2 linked regions of the Rhinolophus ferrumequinum genome follow. The protein of the gene in region 2 purifies or fractionates together with the protein of the main gene of each other region. This does not show direct contact. Links are inferred from orthologs where the notes say so. Each region holds a gene or a part of one and is shown on either strand. Other genes may lie near its edges.

Region 1 (7,977 bases), on a different chromosome or scaffold from region 2:
TTGTCTCTCTGCCTCCCCAAGGGTGCTGGGCATGTGGTGAGGGCTCAGGGAAGGAAGAGACCCTGCCATAGGTGTCTCTCTGGGGTCATGGAGCCCTCAGGGAATCTGCTGAGGAAGGTGTCCACACATCCACGTATGTGCACAAAGTGTCGGGGCCTGAATACAGGTGGGAGCCCGGCTCCCCCCACAGCCCCCCTCAGCCAGGCCCCCTGCCCACCTCTTCCACCAACAGGTTCTGGAGCTCCCGCTGGCAGTCCTGCATGCGCTGGCGGTCGGCGCTGTCCACCACCCAGATGAGGCCATCGGTGCTCTCAAAGTAGTTCCGCCAGTAGGACCGCAGGGACTTCTGGCCGCCCACATCCCAGATGTTCAGCTTGAATCTGGGCAGGGAGGGGTGGCTGGAAGGTCAGCCTGGCCCCTCGCCCACCCTCCCCACCCTGCTCTGGGCTGCCCGCCCGCAGGGACCCTGCTCACCCCCGGTGTTCCAGGGTCTTGATGTTGAAGCCCAGCGTTGGGGAGATGGTGTCAATGTCTTCTCCATTGAACTTCTTGAGGATGGTTGTTTTGCCAGCGTTGTCCAGGCCGCTGGGGCGCGCCAGGTTAAGGAGAAACCCCCATGCTCTGCAGGGTGGTGAATCATCACAGTGCCCCTCTCTTAGGGGATAAATAATTTCCTACCACCTATCAAAATCAGTGGAGCACATGCCTGACCCATAATCGGCCCAGGATAAATGTGAAAGTATCAAGAAACATATCTTATCATCTCCTGCTGACCAAAGACTCCTGAATTCACTCCGCAATATTTATTGAATACCTTCTCAATGCCAGGCCCTCTTCTGGTGCTGGGGGACCCCGGAGTCAAAGTCTTACCTGTGTGCAGCTTACATTCTAGTGCAGAGACAGTCGACAGGGTACAAACCAAGGAGAAACAAGGTACTATCAGGTCCTGGTGCGTGTTAGAAATACAAGGAGGAGGCTTTCAGAGAGGGCCATCACATCGGAGAAGCTTCCTTCAGCTTGGGTGCCAGGAAAGACCTCTCTGAGGGTTTTGAGCTGAGGTCCAATCTACAAGGCGCCAGCTTTTTGAAGCATTGGGGGAAGAGTGTTCTAGACAGAGGGAACAGCAAGAGCAAGTGTCTGGAGGCAGCGGGTGACCTTGTTTCAGGACTCTTCCAAACCCTGCTGCTGAGTGAGTGTACAAACAAGTGCGTGAGCTCACCAGCCAGAGAGAACCACCCTCCTCTTTCCTTCTAGCACTTAAGGGGTCTGCAGCTGGGAGGGGGGCCCAGGCCTTAGACTCAGTAACCTTTTCCTCACCTGACATGGGTGATTCAAACTAGTGACGTGGGGGTGACAGAGCACCTCTCCTGAGACTCAGACTTAGCCCCTGCTCATTGGCTGCTGACTATTCCCTGACCCCTAACTCCACCATTCACATTTCCTTCCCCACTGGATCATTCCCCTCAACTGATACCCTCTGGCGTCTCTCCCCCCTTAGAAGCAGCAAACATCATCCTCTCTATCCCTCCCCCCCTTACTTATTCCTTTATTTCCCCCCTTTACAGCAAATCCATACTCCTGTGTCCACACTCATCCTCTCCAATTTCTGTCCTCCTGCTCTTTCTTGAACCCATGAGGCTTTTGCTCGCCCTGCTTCCCCACAACTGCTCTTGCCAATGTCGGTCCCTAAGGACCCCCATGTTGCCCTCCAAGGGCTGGGCAGTCCTCAGTCCTCATCCTTCTGCTCCACCAGCAGCACCTGACCGAGTAGCCTGTGCCTTCCTCCACTCCAGGACACATCTGGCCACTCCTCATCTCCCTGACCTCCTGAACTAGGAACACCTCGGTTCCCTCGTCTGTCCACGCTTTTGATGATCTCATCTAGGATCACAGCTTCAAATACCATCTTTATGCTGATGACTCCCAAATGTATATGTCTCACCCAGCTGCCAAAAGTGAACTCCCATCTTCCCTTTGAACTTGCTCCCTGCCCGCTTCTCTATCCAAGCAAATGGCTCCTCATTCTTCTAATTGCTCAGGCCAGAAACCTAGCAGTCATATTTGACTTCTCTCTCTCTCTCTCTCTCTCTCTCTCTCTCTCTCTCTCTCCCCAGCAATTCCTGCTGGCCTACTGTCAAAATGCCCCCAACTTCCATCACCTTGAGCCACCATCTATCTCACCTGGTTTGAGCCACCATCCTATCTCATCCGCGATACTGCAGTGGCCTAACTATTCTCAGAGCACATCTCCCCTCCACACTTCTCATTTAAAGGAAAAGCCAAGAAGCGAAAGGTCCTACAGTGAGGCCCTTCCATCACCCTTCTGTCCTAACCTAGTACTCTCCTCCTGCCACACTGCCCTCCTTAACATTCCTTTGAAGACCCTCTTGAGTTCATCCTTCCAGGCATTTGCATTTGCTGTTCCCTTTGCTTAAACAATTTCCCCCAGATATCTACATGATTCGGTCCCTCACCTCCGATTCACTCTTAACGTGGCCTCTTTAACCCCCTTATTTAAATGCATCCTCCTCCATACATACGATATATTTTACTTATTTGCTTTGTTAACATCTTTCTCCTTCCAGCATTATATAATGTCCATGAAGGAAGGGGTTGTTTTTGTTTTGCTGTTTTACCCCAGCCCCTAGGACAGTGCCTAGCACAGAGTAGGTGCTCAAAAAATATTTATTGGATGAGTGAATTCTCTGAGCCTTTCAAAGAACTCTTTAAACAGACATGATGTGAATATTATTGGAGTTATTTGTGCACGTGTCTTCTCTCCCTGCTAGGGGAGCTGGGGGTGAGGGCAGCCCAGCTCTTGGATGGCAGAGTCCACGCGGGGCCTGGCACAAAGTAATACAGACGCCTGCTAATGGGACTCGGAAGGTCGGCGGGGCCCTCGGGCCTACAACCCGTCAGCCAAAAACCACGGGGTCGTGCAGCAGCAAACAAACACGACTACTGGACCCACTGGCGAACGAACCCACCGAGGCCACACACGCCTCTCCCGGGAGCTGAGGACGGTGCCCTCACGCCCCCGGGATTCCGACCTTGAGGGCGGGGCCCGGGCCTGAGGCCGGCCCCCACGGGCAGGGGGAGGAGGTTAGAGCCCAGGAGAACCGAGGCCCCAAGCCTGGGCCAGACCAAAGGGTGGTGTGGCGTCAGAGTCACCTCCAGGACCCACTTCCCCTCTACACCGGGGCACCTGGTGCGGCCGCTGCGCCATGAGGCTCACACCTTTGCCTTGAAAACGGATTTCCCCCGCCCCGAGTCGATGGTACGGCCTCCTCCCGGGCCCCCGCCGCAAGTGATTGGTAGTCCCCACGTGCGTGACGCACAATGGGCAGTTGGGACGGGCCGGCCGGCCGCTCACCCTGCGCCCGGTAGGGGGCGCCTGGTGCCGCCTGCCCGGCGGGGCCCCGCTACCCTGGCCGCTTCTGCGTCCGGGAGGATACAGCATGAGTAGTCGCAGCTCCCGCTCTTTCTGCTTCATCTTCTTCAGGATGGTCAGAAGGCCCATGGTCCCCGTAACCCCCTCCTGGCCGCCGTTGCTTCCTAGTCCCGGGACCCCTCGCCCTGCTCCTATTGGCTATCACGCCCACTGACAACACAGCCTATTGGCGGGCCCCTCGCTTGGTCCCGCCCTCATTCCCACGTGACCGCGAAGTCACCCATTGGTGCCTCTGCGAAGGTCCCTCTAGCGGTGATGGGGACTTCTGCGCTAACTCTTCACCAACCTGCAGTTAACCCTTCGCATACCGAGGGCTTGAAGGACGAGAGCACCGCCATTCCTTCCTCTCCAGGACCCCAGGCTCAAATGGGAACGGAAACCTGAAGTTCCTGGATTGTGTTTTGGCTGCATAGGAAGTAAGAAGAGGCAGGAGTCAGAACCAATGGAGAGCCCCAAGATTGTTGATGAGTTTATCCTTTGGCCAGTGTAAGGCTCTGTGGAGACAGAGTCCCAGAGAGCAGTTTCCAGGCTCTTGGTCTCACGTGGAAAGGTGCTGGCTTGGTTATTAGATGGCCATCAGCTATAATCAGATGGGCATTAGCTGTTACCGATTAGCCATCAGCCACTAATATAACTGTCCTCGCTCCGCAAAGGGGTTGGTTGGCAGAGAAGTGACTTCGGATTGTGGTTGGCAAGTGCGGTTAGCAAGCAGATGGATTGCGGATCGTGTGAATCCTACTTCCAGTGTCTCGCCTGGCTGCCAGAGAGAGGGGTGCAGGAAGACCCCGCATTGGGGTACTGGTGGATGTTTGCTTTTGTGTCTCAACCAGCCGCCATTGAGAATATAGTGGTATGACTCCCCTATCTATGGCTCCGTTGGTGCTCCTTTTCGGCCTCACCATATCCTGCGTTTTTGTGTGGGGCACGGGACCAGCAGCTCTGCTCCCTGAAAACATGGTCCAGATCCTCCTCATCTTGGTTGGACCTAGGGTGTCATCCTGAACCTGCCAGTTACAAGGCCTCCCCCTTTCCCTGGCACCTGGAGTCATAGAGGGAGGGCGGGGGTTCTCCATCAAGGGAGAAAATGCCATGAAGGGCGTTTTCAAAATGTGACAGGGCATCATTGGGTTGTCCCAATTACCAGGGAGGTCCCTGTCACTTAGAGGGCGGGGTACAGACCTGCACAAAGAATTATCCCACCCAATGTGCCCATCATTTGTCTATTTCTTTTGCAGATGAGAAAGTTAAGGCTCACATGGTGCTTAGCACCCTGACTGGCATATAGTAGATATTCAAATATTTGTTGTTGAATGAATGACTTTATCCAAGAGTTTGGTTCTTTACCTTAGTGCTTGAGTCCAGAAAATAATGAGGAAACTGAGGCCAGGGACTAGGCAGAGTGTAAACTCAAAAAGGTGAGCCTTATTGTCTTATTTTGAGCCCTTTCCCCCAGCCTACCACAGGGTAAATGTGAGTGGGCAACACAGAAGGTTCTAATGCTTGGGGCAGTCAGGCACCAGCTGAAGATAATGGCTAGCTTCTGTGTGACTGTTTATAAAGTACTCCACATTTTCTACTTCATCCTCCTGACAACCCTGAGAGGTCTGTTTCCTTTTTGGAGATGTGATAGTGGAGTCCAGAGAATGAAGGAGCTGCGACAGCAATTTAAACTCAGATCTGAACTGGAAAGTGCACTGTTTTCCTGGTTCCTAAGAAATCTAAGTGCCTTCAGTGGGGATCAGTTACTTAAGCTGGGGTACATGTGTGTGTGTGTGTGTGGGGGGGTTTCATGAAACCTTTGAGAAAGGAGAGGTGGAGCTATAATGTGCCTGCGTGGAAAGATGTCCATGCCAAATTAAGTGAACTTTAGTACCATTATAATTTTTAAAATGACAATAACTCACTAAACAATGTTTTTCAAACTGTGGTATGCAGCCCCTTCAGGAGATTGTGAAATTAGTGTCACAAATACATTGAATCATATGTAATCGCCCATGTTGACTACTAAGATATCAGTCAGTTTCATGTGTTCAACCTAGAAGCACTAGCAAAAATTAAATAGAATGAACAGAACAGAAAGCATTGCTGCCTTTGCCCATTAAGTAAAAGTTTATAGTGTTTGTTAAAATGTGTTTCAGATATTTATATGGATGTATGTACTTCTCAACTAAGAGTCAGTCACAAAAATTTGAAAATCACTGCAATTCAACTGATACTTCTGGAACAGGTTTGAGGGGGACTTCAAATTATTACCTGAAGCACTTCTGGATTGTTTTACGTTACTAACTGCCATGAGCATTGAAATCCTTGTTTTAATGTCAGGCTTCCGGCCCTGCCCAGTTCCAAGCAGTTATTGCGGCTTCCCCGGGTCCACATAGTAGATAACGATGAATATCAACTGAAAAATCAACCTGGAAGCTCTGTAAAATAGTCGGAGACCAGGAAGCAGTTGTTTTGAATAATAATTGCATGTAGCTAGAAATGGGGTGGGGGGGAAGAGGGGCTTTTAAAGACAAGTGTACGTAGGAGCCTACTGGCAGGCAGTGTTTTCATTTGCCTTCTGGAAAGAAGGAAAGGGTGCTCTTAAGGAAATAAAATCTCTAGGGAATATGTTTGGAAGAAAACTGGGAAAGAAGATCTCTAGAGCTGTAGTTATATATAGCTATGAATATATATATTCACGAGAAAGAATCGTGAAATTAAAATACCCAAATCCTGAGAGCTGTGAAACCCGCTTTTGAAGGGAGAGTTTCTTAGGGCTAAGTAAGTGGATTGTAACTTGAGGATGGAGTTCTAGATGCCTTTTATTTATTTTATTTTTTATTATTAGTTTTTAAATTTTTAAAATTTATTTTAAGTGTGCTTTTCCAGGACCCATCAGCTCCAAGACAAGTAGTTGTTTCAATCTAGTTGTGGAGGGCGCAGCTCACAGTGGCCCATGTGGGAATTGAACCCATTACCTTGTTGTTAAGAGCACCTCGCTTTAACCAACTGAGCTACCCGGCTGCCCCCGGGATGCTTTTTAAAGAGGTGTGTTACCCAATGTGTGGGGAAGAAAATTTGGCATTATAGTTTTAATTTTAAGAGATATAGCCTCTTTGATCCATCCATACACTTCCTGTATCACCTTTTTAATCATAAAAGAAAAATAACAAAACTCTTTTTATCCTGGAACAACAACAACAAAGAAAGCCAGGGGAAAAGAGTGTGCCCCCTAATCCCTGGAATGGCAACTGCCTATGGACCCCAGTTCTGCCCTGGCTTGCTCTAGTGCTCCCACGCCATCTCCTTGTCTGCCTTAAGAATCCAAGGGTGGCCCTGTCCCCACTTGGTGCATACAATGAGCAAGCCACAGCTGAATGCTTCAAAGAACAAGTCAGAGTGTTCAAGCATCTTCCTTATAGGTTTCAACCCAGCTGCCTGGAGTGGGAGGCAGATGAGGTGTCCTTTCCAACTTCCAGATAACGAAATGAGCTCTTCCTCACACCCCTGTCATCCATCCAAGGGCACGTGACATCTCCAGTCTTTTTCAGAACCTGAGGAGCGGGGGAAGGACTTGGAAATCTGAGCTCTTCCAATAACACGTCCATGTTCACCTCCCCTGTGCCTGTGGCATCCTCCACAGGCTGCTCGATGCTTCCTGTCGCTACAGGGCAAGATGGGGGAGTGAGGAGGGAGTAGTTGCTGAGCCTTCACTCAGCCACCTGAGAGCCAGGTACCCTCTTATCTCCACTTGACAGATGAGCCAGGAGCTCCACTCACCGAGATGGCTAAAGCAGCCTCTCGCCGTTCCTCTTCCCCAAGGCAGAGGGACCTTTCTAACCGGTGCACCAATCTTGTCCCTCCTCCGCTTAAAGCCCTTGGCTGTGTGCTGTCCCCTGGCTGCTCCCTGTATCTTTCAGAGTCGGAGCCCGAGTTCTCCAGTGGCCAATGAGGACCTGCATGAATTGCCTTCGCAACTCTCTACTGGGAGTGCCTGCTTCTCTCCTCATCCCTTTATCAATTCTCCAATCCACCAGCGCATTCCTGCTGCCCCTAATCCATACCTCCCTGCTACCTCCCTCTCTTCAATGCTTTGCTCAAATGTCCAATATCTCAAAAAAAATTTATTGTTTCAATATCTCAGTGAGGCCCAGTCCTGACCACCCTATTTAAAGTTGAAACCACTCATCCCCCATCCACATTCCCCAAATCCTTTATTTTGGTTTATATTCATTCCCCCATGACACTTAAGGCCTCTACTAGCCTGTGTAATTCCCTTAATTGGTTACATTTATTCTCCCCATCCCTCCATCCCTACTAGAATGATAGCTCCACAAGGGTTGGGATTTGCACTCCCCCCCCCCTTAGTTTTATTGAAAAATAATTGATGTACAGCACTATACAAGGTCTGACAATTAACTTCACAAACTTGCCACCGCGCGCTTACATTGGTAGCGCTGTACACACAGCTCAGTAAGGTTTCATAACCTTGGTGTGTCAGTGTCTCACAGCTGTGTTCGTGTCGATTTGTGGCGGTGTCTTGC
Region 2 (8,262 bases):
TCCTGGATGGCCGTGCTGTTGCCAATGAAGGTGACCGCCATCTTCAGGCCGCGGGGTGGGATGTCGCACACGGCTGTCTTCACGTTGTTGGGGATCCACTCCACGAAGTAGCTGCTGTTCTTGTTCTGCACGTTGAGCATCTGCTCGTCCACCTCCTTCATGGACATGCGGCCCCGGAACACGGCAGCCACAGTCAGGTAGCGGCCGTGGCGGGGGTCACAGGCGGCCATCATGTTCTTGGCATCGAATACCTGCTGGGTGAGTTCGGGCACAGTGAGGGCCCGATACTGCTGGCTTCCACGGCTGGTTAGAGGGGCAAAGCCAGGCATGAAGAAGTGGAGGCGTGGGAAGGGCACCATGTTGACTGCAAGCTTGCGGAGGTCAGCATTGAGCTGGCCAGGGAAGCGGAGGCAGGTGGTGACCCCGCTCATGGTGGCTGAGACGAGGTGGTTCAGGTCCCCATAGGTTGGTGTGGTCAGCTTGAGGGTGCGGAAGCAGATGTCATAAAGGGCCTCGTTGTCAATGCAGTAGGTCTCATCAGTGTTCTCTACCAGCTGGTGGACGGAGAGGGTGGCGTTGTAGGGCTCCACCACCGTGTCGGACACCTTGGGCGACGGCACCACGCTGAAGGTGTTCATGATGCGGTCGGGATACTCTTCCCGGATCTTGCTGATGAGCAGTGTGCCCATCCCGGACCCCGTGCCGCCCCCCAGCGAGTGGGTCAGCTGGAAGCCCTGCAGGCAGTCACAGCTCTCAGCCTCCTTCCGCACCACGTCCAGGACCGAGTCAACCAGCTCGGCCCCCTCTGTATAGTGGCCCTTGGCCCAGTTGTTGCCTGCCCCAGATTGACCTGGAATCAGGAGGCAAGCTTGATTAGTAAAATGTGGCACATACACAACCACGTTTCCACCTTTCAGTTTTTGGAACAATGCCTGTGGATCGATCTACTTTCCTCCCTCACCAGTGATATATCACCCCCATAATTTACCATCTAAGGCAGCCACACCCCCACCCTCCATTACATCCCAGAACACAGCCCTATAAAAACTCTCAAGCACAACAATCATTTCCTAACTCTTGCTGTCCCCTTGCACACAAATAAATTGAATATGGTATCTACAAATATCTGTGTAACTCACCAAAAACAAAGTTGTCTGGTCTGAAGATCTGGCCAAAAGGACCTGAGCGAACAGAGTCCATGGTCCCGGGTTCTAGATCCACCAAGATCGCACGAGGAACATACTTTCCACCTACGTGTAAGAATGTATAGCCGGGAAAATTAGTACCTAGAAGGTAAATAAACTGGGGCTGGGTGACAGCTAGGGACCTAAACTTGTGATTCCAGGCGCTGCCACCAGGTGGCAGCAGAGCTAGCCTTTGGCAATGGGTGGTGGGAATCAGAGAGAGGAAGATCTCCAAAGGGAGAGGATGGATTCGTCCAAAGGGTGGAGACCCCAGAAGTGGGAAAGGAGATGAGACCGGAGCTCCTTCCCTCACCTGTGGCTTCATTGTAATACACGGAGATGCGATCCAGCTGCAGGTCACTGTCGCCGTGGTAAGTGCCAGTGGGGTCGATGCCATGTTCATCACTGATCACCTCCCAGAACTGTGGAGAAAGAACAATGAACCGTCAACGTCTCAGGTCCCAGCCGATTATGACCCTGCCTCCACCTAACTGCCAGCCACGCCATTCCCCTAGGCACCCCCACACCTGGGAAAGCTGCAGCTTTCACTGCTTGGAATGTGAAATGATGTCCAGCTGGAAAGGCCTGGAGATCGCAGACACCCGGCTAGGCCGAGGCAGCCAACCTGATTAGGTAAGTGTACCCCTCGCCCCCCACGCTGGGCACCGCCCCTCCACGCCGCGCACAAAGAGCCGGGGTAACCAGGGGCCGCAGTCGCCCACCGCCAGCCGCCCACAAGACTGTAGCAAAAGCGCGCGCCCAGCCATCGACAAAGGGAGGGGTCGCGCGTGGGCGGAGCCGAAGCGCGAATTCAGCGCGCGAGGGGCGGGACCTGGCTCGGGCTAGCGCGCCACCTGGTGGCCGGCAGGGCCACAGTCCCCGCCCTGCAGGGCCCTGCCCTTCTGCTACAACGTAGCAGCCGCACTTCCTCCCGGCTACACTGTACCCGCGCGCAAAAAAAAAAAAAAAAAAAAAAAAAATCCCCTCTTGGTCTCGGAATTTTATCCCTTCACTAGCTTTCCCCTCTTGCTTAAAATGAGGATCCTCTTCTTTCCATTTAGTCCCGAGAGACCCTTTAGAGAAAAAAAACCCTTCTCCCGCCCTCTTTCTTATCTGTCCAAGCCCGAAAGGGTCTCTTTAAAGCGAAATAAAGGAAGCAAAATGAATCCAGCACATATTAGCCTTCCACCCACGAAAAACTATGGGCCTGCCCCACGGGGATCGTGGGCGCGTGGAGATCTCTATCTACTCTTTTGTAGAGGTAACGCGCAGTGCAGCCCACCCTACAGCACCACGTCCCCCACCTTTATGGAGCCGGGCACTGCAGCTCTCCACCCCCAACCTCCCCTCTTCGCCCTCGGGCTTGGCCCTACGAAGACCCGCCAAGGGGGTTGGATGCACATGGGGGAACCTCGCCTTGCTTTGTCTCGGCGAGTTTCCGCATCTCCCTCCCTCCCTGGCCCTCGGACCGTTAGATCTCCTTTAAGTAAAACCTTACAGAACCTCGGTCTTCCCGCCCCCCAATCCTCAAGGGTGCTTTTGATAGCTTCCCAAAATGAGTGTCAAGAAAAATAATTCTCCATTTTTCAAATGCAAATTATAGCTACAAATATGTGTTATACATATAAAACTTCTTTGGGGCAAATATTGACTAAGGATGGAGACTGCAAACAGCCCACAACCATTCTCCATAATTTGTACTTTTTTCTTCTCAAAAAGAAGTAAGAGTTAAAAAAGGTTTAAAATCTTTACCTTAGCACCGATCTGGTTGCCACACTGGCCGGCCTGGATGTGCACGATTTCCCTCATGGTTCAAATTTAATTTTTTTTTTTTTTTGCTCGCCTCAAGGTGTGTACGGGGCAAGAAAATATGTAATTTTTTTTCTCTGTTGCTGGTCGCAGGCTGGAAGGATGGGACGCGCCCCGGAGGTTGGAGCAGCTAGGTCCGAACGCGACGGCAGGAAGGTTCTGAGAGGGAGAAAGAAGAGGGCAGGGCGCTGGAGGGAAGGCGGGCAGGGCGGGGCGCGCGTGCGCCGGGCTGGGAGGCGGGAGAAGGCTCCCGCGCAGCACTTGCGAGACAAAGCCTCCGCGAGGCAGGCCCTGATTAGTCGATGCCGTTTAGGTAGTCTATGTCCATTGGTCTCTGCTCTGGGCGAGCGCAGTCTTCTCTGGGAGTTGTAGTCCTCTATTGTTGTCCACGCTGCAAAATGAAGGGACAAATGGGTGGACACTGGCTTTAGGTTTTTGGCGTTTTTTTGAAAAATGACCTTGCCCAAGATGACTTTCCTCTATGCCTGAGTTGTTTTTTGTTTTGTTTTTTTAATGCAAAAAGCGAGTCGTTTGGGATCTACAGGAATTAGGAACCCTAGGGTGCCAGGCATTGGACGGTGGAGTGGGCACACCCTGAAAGCTCCCCGCTGTGGTCGCTCTTGGGAAGACAGGACTGCTTAGCTCAGCGAAAAATGGTGAGAAACGGGCACCCTGCTCTGCTATCTAACTACTGGCCCTTTGGTGACCGAAAGCATGAGCTTCACTAAGCCGCTGCTTCCCCAGCTATCCCAGGAAGAAGGAGGGGATTGCCTTCCTGCTATTTCCTTGGGAGTTTTCTAATGATAATGTTTAGAATGTTTTCTAATGATAATTGCAACAGGGGCTTTGCAGGATAGAGATGTAATTGGAGGGTATGTTCAAAGAATAAATGGAATGGTTTAGAGAAGCTGATATCTTGGGATCTGTGAAGCGGGAAGTCTCCGTCCATGTAAGAGATCTGGTTCTTGGAGCAGCGTTGAAGACTGTGGTCTTGTCAAAAAGAATTATGGGGTGAAACACCTGATAGAATTTCAGAGTCTTTCCAGCCTGCCCTTAGACACTTTGATGAAGTGAGTGGTTTCTCAATTTGTTGATTTCATTGACTGACCATTGCAACCTTTCAAGAGCCTCAGAATTGAAATTTTAAAATGGCGGGGGGGGGGGGGGATTCATGGAAGAAAAATTGGATAGGCTCAAATCAGAGTGACATGCTTCTCAGGGATTAACTCACTTGATAGATACTAAGTGTCCACCAAACCAGAAGCTAGGGATACAAAAAATGATTATGAATTAGTTCCTGGCTTCCAAGATCTTGCAATCTGGTGAGAAGTGTATACACAATAAAGTGTGGTAAGTACTGTAACAGACGACATGTGATATCAAGGTCATCATTAATTCACATTAAATTCAACACATCTCTCAGTCATCTTTTAAAGAACATCAAGTTGTGTATGACCCCTCTATCCACTTATAACAGAATGTTTTATGTTTTAGGGCATGATCACAATGAAAGTAGTTATTTTGTGGTAGTGGAGAGAGTTCAGAATTTAAAATCGGAATTTAAAATTGTTTTAATTTGTCTCTACCTTACCTTAGCTGTAGGAACTTAGCTAGGTCATTTAACTTCGCAGAACTTCACTTCCCTCTGTAAAATCTACTTCTGCCTATTTGATTGTTGTGGTCAGAATGGAGTAACGAAAGCAAAAGGACTTTCTAGATTACATACACGTCAAAATTGTTACCATCCTCTTGTCTTAGTATGAGATAATTAAATAAATGATTTTATCATCCTTTCTTCAGTTCTTGGAAGAACTCGATCAGCCTTTAAGATGGTTAGCAAAACGGTTCACTTTTGGCCTAGGGATCTTTGTTTTAGGAAAATGACCTCAAAAGTCTATCAGGGCTGTATTCTCAGGGAGGAAATGACATGACTTTACTAAACGGGCCAAATCAAAAGGAAATGAACTTCTATCGCAGTGAGAAGTCCTCAGGCGCCACGCCTGAAGGCTGTTCTCCAAATTGCAGCCTCAGGCCACGACTGCAACCCGCAACCCATTTTCATTTATGAGTCAGCAGCCACCATGTCTGGGAAGACCTAGGAAGGGCGTTCTGGCCGCACTAGATGCGCCGGGCGACGACTATGGAAAGCCCCTCTAGGCGCTACCGGCAGGGAGACTCTCTGGTCGTGGCTTGGATGTCTGCGCGGGAAGGGGGCGGTGGGCGGTGAAGCGGTAGTGGGCGGTCCCTTGGAGCTGCCCAATCGAGGTGCGCTATTCTGAGCGCGCACGCGACCTCCGCCTCTCAACCGATCTCAGTCTCCCGGGGAAAGCCAGCCCTTTGAGCCGGAAGTGGGCGGGCAGGAGGCGGGGCTTTGACTTGCCTCCGCATTGGGGGCTTCGTCAATCGGCTTGCAGCAGGGCTGTGAAAGACAGCAGCCGGAACCAATCACCGAATAGGCTCCGACTACAGCGCTCGCGCCCCTCGGTTCGCGACCGTTATTGGTGGCGCGCGCGGGGACTCAAAGTAGGTGAGTTGTTGGGGGCCTCTCCCGCCGCTCCCCGGGTGCCATCTTGGTTCTCCCGGAGGGCGGGAGGGGCGTGCCTTGGGTACGACTGGGCGGAGGAGACTAGGAAATTTTCTTTTCGGATTATAATACTCATCCTTAATTGACTCCCCGCCCTGAGTTTAGGTATGAAGTCACTGGGAGACCGCTGGGCCTGGAGGGAACCCACCCCGGTGGGGATCAAAGGGGTTGGCCTATTGGATTGGAGCCGAGGGTCGTAGGTATCCGCTGAGTCTCCACTGGAGGCGTCCTACTTTCCCTGTCAACGGTTTCGCCCTAGGGTGGCATCTCTAAGTGAATTCCACTCTTGCTATTTTGAGTTTTCATCTGCTTTCATTGGTTCTTTCATCAGTAGACTCTATGGTGTAACATCCTGGAGGGCAGGGTTAGTTTTATGTTTGGTTCATGAATGTATATCCCTAATACTTGTAACGGTTCCGGGTGCAGAATAACTGCTGTTGAGAGAATATGATGGACCCTAGGGAAAAAAACAGTTTTGATGGTCCAGTTCTCCGAGAGGGGTTGGGGGGGGCGGGTGAAAGCAGAAATAGAAAGTAATGGTTATGTAATAATATAGTAAGAAGTGTCAGGATATGTGCAAGTCCATTGACCACCGTGGAACATGTGAATACATCAGGAACACCAGTAAGCAGAGAAGACTCCAGGAAAGGCTTTACTGAGGAAGGGAGGTTTGAACTGAATCGGAAAGGATGGGTAGGAGTTGGACCAGAAAGCTACGAGCAACCGGCCAAGGAATTGGTTTAAGGCACGCAGATATGGGGGACAATAGGGACAGTGTGTTCAAAGATTGGGGAGAAGGTCCATGTGGCTGAACTTGTCGGTTTTGGTGGGCAGGGAATACATTGCAGGACATGAGGTTCAGATTGTGGAGGCTCTTGCTAAGGAGTTTAGATTTTGTTTTATACAATGGGCCTGGAAAGGTGTCAAAGAATATTAAACAGAGGAGAGACATAATCTGGGTGATCTTGGGCAAGTTTCTTAATCCAACTGTGTTGCAGTTTTTTTATCTGAGATATAGAAGATAAATAATACTTTACGGGGTTCTTGTGATTATTAAATGAGTCAGTTGATCTGATCACATTGAGATAGTCCGATAAAATGTAAAAAGCATGGGCTTTGCAGCCAGAGCACATTTATTCCTGCCTTTCCACTTACCTGATATGTCATCCTGAGCAAATACTTAATATTTTTAGCCTTAGTTTCCTAAATTCCTGCCTTGTATGGCTACTATACTTGACCATAACATAATGTTTGGCAAAATTTAGCTCCCTTTAACATGGTGTTTTTCAAACTGTGAGTGGCAACCCAGTAGTGGATATTAAATCAATTTAGTGAGTTGCAAATCGACATTTAAAAATAGAATAGAAAAAAAATAGAATAACATGAAAACTAGCTGTGTATTGCATATAATAAGGCTAACCATTGTTTCTGAAAACATTTGTCTATATAAATAAGTTTGTGTGTTTGCATATACAGAGATTCTCCAAGTTACAATTGTTTGGCTTAGGATTTTGGGACTTTACAATATGGCAAAAGTGATACACATAATAAATTACATGAGATACTCAACACTTTGTTATAAAATAGGCTTTGCATTAGATGATTTTGCTCAAGTGTAGTCTGATGTATGTTCTGAGTACATAAAAGGTAAGCTAGGCTTAGCTATGATGTTCAGTAGGTTAGGTGTATTAAATGCATTTTTTACATAGGATATTTTCAACTTACTATGGGTTTATTGGGATGTAACTACATTGTAAGTCGAGGAGCATCTAGTTGTGAACTTGGAACCTGATAAAATTTATTTCTTATTCTGTGTCATGATCAAAATATTTTTTCAGTGCTTCAGATGGTTAACAACAGAATGCTTGGCATAAAGCGAAGCTTCAACTTCCATAGCTATCCAGGTTTGCCCCCAGTTGTGAGTTTCCTCTCCGAGACTGTGTGTGTGAACCTATGTTAGAGATTATGATGCTGCTAATGTGTTTCCTTCCCAGATCATGGAGGACACTCAGGCTATTAACTGGGAGGCTGAAGAAGAGGAAGAGACAGAGAGGCCCAGTGAATCCTTGGGGTGTATCTTGGAGCCCTTAGGACGACTGCATATTTTTAGTAGTGCCCACGGACCAGAAAAAGGTCAGGCAGTATTTGGGTACTGAAGTACTGGTCTGTGGGGAGGTAGTTGGAGGGTTGTAAGAAGCTTTTATTTATTTTTATTTATTCATTTATTATTTCTCCCCCTTCTTCCACCTCCCCCCCACGCTGGTTCAAGCCGTTATTTCTCAGTCTAGTTGTGTAGGACACAGCTCCCTGGCCCATGCTGGTATTATGAGCCTTGCGCTCCCAGCCCCTTCTGAGACAGTCAGTCGCCAGTTGTCTGTCAGCCGCTCACAGCAGCTCGCAGCAGCTCTTGCCTGCTGCGGGCCACTCACGCTGGCCACTGGCCACTCATGGCAGCACACGGTAGCCCAGCTGCAGAGAGAGCTGTTGTTCACAATCTTAGCTGTAGAGGGTGCAGCTCACTGGCCCATGTGGGAATCGAACCCGCCACCTCGGCATTAGGAGCACCAACTGCCTGAGCCACCGCGCCGGCCCGTAAGAAGCTTTTATATATTACGCGCGCGCTCTCTCTCAAACAAGGTCAAACAATTAAGTTCACGAATTCATCCTAGAAAAAGTGGTACACAT

The links.
Region 1: the proteins of TUBB (region 2) and ARL2 purify together in Homo sapiens (co-immunoprecipitation; 3 studies listed by BioGRID and IntAct, counting the BioPlex papers as one, with this or other methods). This does not show direct contact. The link is inferred for Rhinolophus ferrumequinum from reciprocal best matches to the Homo sapiens genes TUBB and ARL2.

Annotation. Positions count from the first base shown.
Region 1 is NC_046294.1:6,581,279-6,589,255, forward strand, and holds the start of ARL2 (ADP-ribosylation factor-like protein 2), read right to left. Parts: upstream 3,610-7,977; 5' UTR 3,521-3,609; coding exon 3,456-3,520; intron 586-3,455; coding exon 475-585; intron 381-474; coding exon 218-380; intron 1-217. UniProt on the Homo sapiens protein: Small GTP-binding protein which cycles between an inactive GDP-bound and an active GTP-bound form, and the rate of cycling is regulated by guanine nucleotide exchange factors (GEF) and GTPase-activating proteins (GAP).
Region 2 is NC_046286.1:1,310,937-1,319,198, reverse strand, and holds the start of TUBB (tubulin beta chain), read right to left. Parts: upstream 3,179-8,262; 5' UTR 2,994-3,178; coding exon 2,937-2,993; intron 1,607-2,936; coding exon 1,498-1,606; intron 1,251-1,497; coding exon 1,140-1,250; intron 851-1,139; coding exon 1-850. UniProt on the Homo sapiens protein: Tubulin is the major constituent of microtubules, a cylinder consisting of laterally associated linear protofilaments composed of alpha- and beta-tubulin heterodimers.